Caenorhabditis elegans: one gene and its partner. The protein of the gene in region 1 interacts with the protein of each later gene in a pairwise test. Each region holds a gene or a part of one and is shown on either strand. Other genes may lie near its edges. The genes, in order: Y43F8B.2 and bag-1.

The links.
Region 2: the proteins of Y43F8B.2 (region 1) and bag-1 interact in a two-hybrid assay, tested with the Caenorhabditis elegans proteins (2 studies listed by BioGRID).

Annotation. Positions count from the first base shown.
Region 1 is NC_003283.11:19,529,951-19,534,785, reverse strand, and holds the start of Y43F8B.2 (GSKIP domain-containing protein), read left to right. Parts: upstream 1-1,675; coding exon 1,676-1,738; intron 1,739-2,798; coding exon 2,799-2,893; intron 2,894-2,943; coding exon 2,944-3,053; intron 3,054-3,208; coding exon 3,209-3,320; intron 3,321-4,835.
Region 2 is NC_003279.8:6,563,006-6,566,313, reverse strand, and holds bag-1 (BAG family molecular chaperone regulator 1), read left to right. Parts: upstream 1-1,862; 5' UTR 1,863-1,864; coding exon 1,865-2,024; intron 2,025-2,068; coding exon 2,069-2,412; intron 2,413-2,474; coding exon 2,475-2,603; 3' UTR 2,604-2,685; downstream 2,686-3,308. Other genes in the region: syp-6 (Thyroid receptor-interacting protein 11), read right to left, coding at 1-37, 83-141; mei-2 (Meiotic spindle formation protein 2), read left to right, coding at 464-576, 623-909, 957-1,109, 1,157-1,446; tmed-3 (GOLD domain-containing protein), read right to left, coding at 2,779-2,958, 3,124-3,308. UniProt on the Caenorhabditis elegans protein: May inhibit the chaperone activity of HSP70/HSC70 by promoting substrate release in an ATP-dependent manner.

The DNA of each region.
Region 1 (4,835 bases):
GGCTCTTTTTTGCTCATTTTTCACTTTTTGTGGAAAAATACGGAGAGGTGAGTTTTCGGGCTTCTAATTGAAAAAATTGAAAAAAAAACATTTTTGAAAATAAAAAAAAATTTCGAAAATTTTTTTTTTCCATTTTTTTTCCAAATTTTTTTTTCAAAACCTTATCCAAATAATATTTACATCATTTTCAGCTAATCCTCTCGCACTTTTCACTTCAAAAAAAATGCTCATTGAGCCCTGCAAAATGTTGTTTTTCTCCCCCCCCCCCCCCCCCCACTTTCCTCTCAATTTTCTCGTTATTTTTCAGTTTTTCATTGTTTTTTTGCTCCGTTGAGCACACTTTTTTCTTTTTCTTTTTTTTATCTCTGAGTGTCTATTTATGGCACATTTTTCATTTTGAGAAAAAAAACGAAAAAAAAACTTTCGAAGCTCACACTCTCTCGGCATTTATTGCCTCTTTTTTAGGGGCTTCCGGTGAGTTTTTTTTGAGAAGAAGCTTTCAATTCAAATTTATTGATTTGAATGTGCTCATTGTGCATAGAAATCAAATTTTTTTGTTAGTTAGTTTAAATAAGAAAAAACTTTTTTTTGAATTTTTAAAAAATCGAGAAAATTTTTTTTTTCAAATTTTTTTGTGAAATGTTAAAATTATTTTTTCAAAACGTTTACTCAATTTTTAATAATTTTTTCGCTCTAAAAAATATGTGCTTTTTCAAAAAAATTGCATTATTCTTTTGCGGGAAATTTGAATTTTCAATTAATTTTTGGCTGTAAATTCACAATTTTTTTTTTACAAAATTTCTGTCAATTTTTGGAAAGAAAATCCAAATTTTCAGTCAATTTTTGGCGGGAAATTTAAATTTTCTGCCAATTTTTAACAGAAAATTGAAATTTTCAGTTACTTTCCTTTGTCAATGTTATGCCCTTTTTGTCATTTATGAAGCCATAATTTACGAAAAAAATTAAAAAATTTTTTTGTTGTAAAAATGCCCATATTTAACCCCCTGTTAACCCTCTACATTTTTCCCATCAAATTTCCCTTCAAATTGATCTTTTCCCCGTTCAGATGACGTCATCAACCTTTAAAGATTCTCTCATTTCTCTGCCCAACTCTCTCATTTTCTAATACTATTTCTTAAAAATCTTATCAAATTTTGGATGTCTTTTCTTATCAGAAAAAGAAAACTTTTGAAAGTTGAAAATAAATTAATGATTGATAACTGGAATTGGTGTTCTTTGGTGATTCGGGCTTTGGAACTTTTTGGAATTTTTTTTTGAAAATTTCAGAGAAAAAATTTAAAAAAAAAAAAGCTATATCCTTTTTTTGAAAAAATGTTAACGAAAAAAAAAAATGAAAATTTTTTTCGTGAATTTTAAACTTAAAAGTTGTACTATTTTTTCAATATAAATTATGTAATTTTCAAATTTTTGCCAATAAGTGGGCGGAGCCTCAGTGACGTCACACCTCACTTATCTAGAACTAGTTGCTGGAAAAGCAGCTGAAATCCTTCTGATTCGATTTGTATGTGCAAAAAAATAATCCCCCGACTTTATACATTTTCTCAAGTATTTTCGCGTTTAATTTATAGCTGTTAAGCCCCCTGACTGACTCCGCCCACTTTTTGGATTTATTCGAAATTAAAAAAAAATATTTCTGAAAATTTTCCAACTGAAAATGCGACCTTCCAGAAGCCATCACTTCCAATTTTTACTGAAATCAGAGACTTTTAGCCGGAAAGTGAGTTTATTTTCTGAAAATTTTGAAAAAACATTCATAAACTTCAAAATGACGTCACTCTACCGATTTTTTATATTTTTCAAAATTAAAAAACAATTTTCGAGCAGAAAATTTCAACCAACATTTGCTATAAATTTCATAAAATATATCTCTAAAAACTACAAAACTACGAGTGTTTTCGTAGCGGAACCCAAATCTTCCAAATTTTTTTAAAATTTTTTTCGAAAAATTCCTAAATTCAAAATGACGTGACTCCGCCCATTTTTGAGATTTTTCAAATTTTTTAAATTTCAATATGAGCTTGAAATTTCAGCCAACAAATGCTATGAATTTCATAAAAACAACCTCCAAAAACTACAGTACCATGGGCGTTTTCGTGGTGGGACCCAAAATTTCCAAAAAAAAATTTTTTTCTGGAAAATGTTATCAAACTTCCAGAGCACGTCGCTCCGCCTATTTTTGAGATTTTTTGAAATTGTGTGATTTTTATGAGCAGAAAAAAAAACAAATTTCATAACAACGCTCCAAAAACTACAATACGACGAACGTTTTCGTGGCGGGACCCAAAATTTCGAAAAAAAAAGTTTTTATGGAAAACAATCTCAAATTTTAAAATGACGTCACTTTACCAATATTTGAGTTTTTTTTTGAATTTTTCAATTCAATATGAGCTTAAAATTTTACAAAAGTATCCCAAAAAATTTCACGAGTGTATCTTCAATTTCTACAGTACCCCAGAACTTTTCGCGGCGGGACCCAAAAATTAAATTTTTTTTGAAAAAAATTTGAAATTCTTCAGTTTTAAAATGACGTCACTCTACCGATACTTGAGTTTTTTTTTTCGAAATTTTTCCACGCGTTTTTATAAACGTCTTTATTATCTACAGTATCCCAGAACTTTTCGCGGCGGGACCCAAAACTAAATTTTTTCGAAGAAATATTCTCAAATGTTGAAAATGACGTCACTTTACCAATTTTTGAAATTTTTTGATTTTTTTTGATTCAATATGAGCTTGAAATTTCACACAACCCCAAAGTTAAAAAAAAAATTTTTTTGCAGATGCCAAATTGCTCCTGTACAATCCGTTGCGAGTGTCGGATCACCAATTTGACCGGCGAAACTCTTGAGGCGGCTCCGGAGTATTTGAAAAAAAAGTGAGAAGAAGCCGGCTATGCAAAATTCAATCTTTTTCAAAAATTTTCAGCGCAATCCGATGGAGCTCCGCGGCTCAGATATACGAGGAGCTCAAAAATCCCGGCCATTTTCAGCTTTGTCACGTCGAAAAACGATACAAGAAAAATAAATCCAAAAGTCGTGAGTTTATCAAGAAAAACAGAAAATTCAAATTTTTCAGTCGGACTGCAATTTTTGACGCTAAACTCAATTTTGTGTTTTTTAGCCCAAATTTTTTTTGCAAAAACATGAGATTTTTGGGTAGTTTTCTTGGAAAAATGATGATAAATTTTCAGAATACCACTCCCCGGAGCGATCCCCTGCGGGGACACCTCACCATCACCGCCGCCTATCACATAATCACTTGGCGTACGGTGGAAGTATGTCGGAATTGAATTGTACACAGAGGTTTGTGAAGAGGAATTTTTTTTTTTTTGGAATTAGAAAATTGCTAAGTTTAAAATTTGTGAGTTTTTCAAAAAATAAAAAATTTTTGGACTAAATTTTTGGACTAAATTTTTTTTGATTTTTTTCAAAATTTTCCCCAAAAACTCGCAATTTGCCTTAAAATTTTTGAGTACTAAAGTACGCGTTTATTTAATTGCTCTTTTTTGCAAACTGCAGAGTACCGTTCCCCTTAAAGTAAATATTGAAAAAAAGAGTTAGGTTCATTTTTTTTGCCCCCAAAAATCACATGATTTACACAGTGAAACGTGAGATTTCCGTCATTTTTTCTTTCTGCTGTTCAAGTAATTAGAGATTAGTTTCGTTAAGTTCACCGAGCATTTTGACTCATTGGCTCAATTTTTCCAGCTGGCTTCACCTATTTTTGGGGATTAGGAATCTGATTGAAAATTATTATTGTGCGAAAATTGCCAACAAATTGCCAGAAAGTCGTCAAAAAATTGCCAAAATGTTGTTGATAGATTCCAAAAAAAAAACCACAAAGTTGACAAAAGTTGCCAAAAAGTTGTCAAGAAGTTGTCAAAATTCGCGAGAAAGTCACCAAAAAATTTACAAAAACTGACGAAATGTTGGCAAAGAATTGTCAAAAAGATGGCAGAAAGTCGCCAAAAATTGGCAAGAATTGTCGAAAAACTGCCGGAAAGCTTTGAAGTTTGTCAGGAAGCTACCGAAACTTTTGGCGACTTTCGCCAGACATTTGCCAGTTTTTGCCGGTTTTTTCCAGCTTTTTGTCAATTTTCGTTCAACTTTCCCCTATCCTTTGCAAACTAAATTTTAATTTTTTTTTTGACTTTTGTTTGGCTTTGCTAATTTAATTTTTTTTTTGACTTTTGTTTGGCTTTGCTAATTTTGTGCCTATTTTTTTGCCAACTTTCTTCTAACTTACCCAAATTAGCTCCAAACACCTGATAACTGTGTCTTATAGGTGTTTGCCAACTTTTTCATTTTATTTGTACCCCTATGCGTCACAAAAACACATCTGTCGTACTTTTCTGATTCCAAAAATAGCAAATTTTCAGTCAAAAGTCCTACAAAATAAAGGAATGACGTGTGATAATTGTTTTCCATGCCATTTCCATCAGTGTCTAATAGGAAAAAGAATACAAAATGAGCAGAGCCCCCTGAAATAATTGAGTTCCAGCTTTTTGGGAATGTGCTCCACAAAAAGTTTTTGTGCTCATTGTGCTCATTTTGTGTCAGTGCACACGAAAAAGTCTGTGATTTATAGGAATTTTCTGAGCATTTTTCGAGTTTTGGAGAGTGTTCAACAAGTTTTGCCAAATTTTTGGCAATTTTTTGCTAACTTGCTTTAAGTTTTGGCAATTTTTGCCAAATTTTGCCAATTTTACTCCAAAGATAGATAAGTTTATTGCAAGTTACGGAGACCTTTTCGCAAAATTTGACAAGCTTTAAATTTTTCATAATTTTAACATTTTTGGCAACATTCTGGCAACATTT
Region 2 (3,308 bases), on another chromosome or scaffold:
TTGAAAGCTCGAAAACTTTTTTTCGAGTAGGTTATTGCTGAAATTAAATTAATATAAACTGTTTCTTTTTTTGGTGACTTACTTTCTGATGATCGACTTGACTTTCGCTTCATTTTCCAACAAACCAAGTACTGGAGCCATTTACTATAAGAACTAAATTAAATATTAAATATATCGTTTCAAGAATTCATTGGAATGAGGCAAAAGTAAATACTTAGGATTAAAAAATCCAGCTTTATATTAAAAACTTTAAAGGCGCATATGAGATGTTATTCGGGTCCCGCAGCGCTCATGCGGGGTACGATAGTACTTCAAAGAATTACGCGGGAATTTCTTTTATGCGGGAAAACGGTTTTTTCTTGTTTACTAGTTCCTTTCTTTCGTCTAATTTTGATATCTTGTGTTTTTTTCCAATTATAAAATGTTTGTCTCTTCTTAAATTTGAAATTTTGAAATTTTTCAGATGTCAGGGCTTGACGACCGGAAAAAACTAACACATGCAAAAAATAGGAAGCCTCTCAACGACATTCCGAAATCCGCTGAAAACAGACCAAATACAAGATCTACTTCGAGTCGGTGAGTTCTACGAAAAAAGTATCTGAAGCGATTATATTTTTTTCAGACGCGGTGCGGAAAAGGACGTTCCCATCACTTTCATCGGGAGTTCTCGAACTGTGAAAGCCGATCTGCCCGAGTTCACAAATACTCGCTCAAGACGTCCATTGCATTCCGAGTCGAAGAAGGAATTGTCTCGGAACCCGGTTTCGAGAGGTGAAGAACATAGCAGTTCTTTGCCAAAATCCTCCCCAGAATCATCCGTGTCAGTCATGTCATCAAACGCGTCGTTGTGGTCCGCATGCACCGAGGAAGTGAATAAAATCGGTGTTTGTGCGAAGCGAGAGAGCAGAAGTAGGATTTGCAGAGTTTTGATTTTTCAGTTTATGTTTTCTTTTCAGATCTTCGTGTTTATAAGATGAAGAGTTTCACAAGTAACATGGAACAGATATTGTCAAACGACAACCAACTCGCTCCCACAGTCATTAGAATTCTGAATAGTAGAAACTCTTGGTGTCTCAACTCGTGCCATGCTTGTTTAACATTTATCATGGGTTGGTTTTGCTTCCTGATAAATTTATTCTAATGTTTTGTAATTCAGAAAATATCACGAGCGACAATTATGGGAAGCGATCGGCTTGCTTGAAGGCTCTTGCATCAATTACCAACAGTTTACTGGACACAATCATCGGATTTGCATCCACCAAAACTCGGCGAATTGGAGTCGATGTGGTAGCTGAAGAGCGAGCTGCAAAAGCAACAGAGTGCATTCACAATTTTCGCAAAATAGTTAAAAATCGGGACAAAATCTACAAACAGATTGACCAGGAGACAATTTACAAACTCGATGCCATTCTCGAGCGATTGAAAAAAGTTTCCAGCCATAAGTAATTTTCTTGTAAATAATTGCATACTTATTATTCAACCGATGGTTATCACCCAACTCACTGTTTATTTTATTGCTCATACATTGTGTTTCTTACATGTCCAATATAAAAACTATCATGTGCTCTCGTATTGTGACTTAAAAACAAAAATGGGCTAATTTAATGTCCCTCACAGTATCGTACGAAAACGGTGATTCATTGTCTATGGAATCGTTTTTCTCTGAAGTCTCTGAGCGAGTGCGCCCCATTGCAATCGATGTGTACACCTCGTGGAGGAACTGATTTTCGCATAAGCTTCTCGTCATTTCTAGAAGTTTCTTAATTTTCTAATAAGTTAACAATAATTTTGTTCCAATTTCTTATTTATCGACACTCGGAGGCTTCTCCCACTGCTAAAACTGTCTCAAAATCAATTTTCAGAAATGAAGGTGAATGTGTCGTGTTCATCCGTTCAAACTACAATCGACATTCTTGAGGAAAATCAAGGAGAAGACGAATCTATTTTGACACTTGGGCAGCTACGCGATCGAATCGCCACCGACAATGATGTTGATGTTGAAACCATGAAGTTGTTGCACAGAGGTTGTTTCTGATTTTTTGGAATAATGAGACAAAGTATTTTACAGGAAAGTTTCTTCAAGGCGCCGACGATGTCTCCCTTTCTACTTTAAATTTTAAAGAAAATGATAAAATCATTGTGATGGGTGGAAAAAATGCTTTGGTTGATGACGCGGGCTTCAAAATGCTCATGCAATATGAGAAGCATAATTTGAGCAATCTTCAAAAAGCCTATGATCTCAATTTGAGAGATGTCGCTGATTTGGAACGTGGTTTTCTCGAAAAACCAAAGCAGGTCGAGATGGGGAAAAAGCTGGAAAAGAAAGTGAAATATTTCAACGAAGAGGCGGAAAGACATCTGGAAACTCTTGATGGGATGAATATTATCACTGAAACTACTCCCGAAAATCAGGTGTGTCATAATTTTATTTTGTACTTTGAATAAGTTTTCGATTCAGTTCAATCAACTTTCAGGCTAAGCGAAACCGTGAAAAACGCAAGACGCTCGTAAACGGAATCCAAACTCTTCTTAATCAAAATGACGCACTTCTTCGGAGACTCCAGGAATATCAGTCAGTTCTCAACGGAGACATTCCTGAATAATTCTCAATTGCATAAAATTGCTTCGGGTTTTTATGTTATGAAACTCAGTTATAAATCAATAAATTATATTCTTATGCTATGTATCAAAGGGAGGAAAAGGGGCAAAACAACTGACGGGACCCATTAAAATGAGAAGGCTGCTAATTACAAAAAAAAGAGCAATGGTGTGAAAAAATTAATAACGAGTTCTTTTATCATTGAAAAATGATTTGAGCAGGAAAACTTGGCCAATTCCAATGAATACTACGACGGCAGATTGACCAAGGGACCAGATCATCACGCGCTCGTTGAGTTCTTCTGCACGTTTGCGACCAGTTGCTTCACGGAGACGATGATGAGTTTGATAGTCATCAATCTACAAAAAAGTTTATAAGTATGTCAAATGTCGGGTGAACAACTTTTTTAGTAAGCTCCCAGCAAAATAGAGTTGGAAAAATGAACGAATTCATAAAATTCGAAAAAGTTACGTTTTGAGCATTTTCTAATTGTAAAAATAAATCTTTTTAAATAAAAATCTTACTGTTCTCAATTTATCTCCAATAGCGACTGCATAATTTTCTAATTGAGTCATTGCATGAGCTCCTTGAGTAACGGCAGCATGAAGAGCATTTTGATCACCGAATTGCCAATCCATGTAAACGATTTTATGAGAGAATGTGGAGAATTCATTTGAAAAGCATGCTTTGTATGTTCCTTCAACTTCGG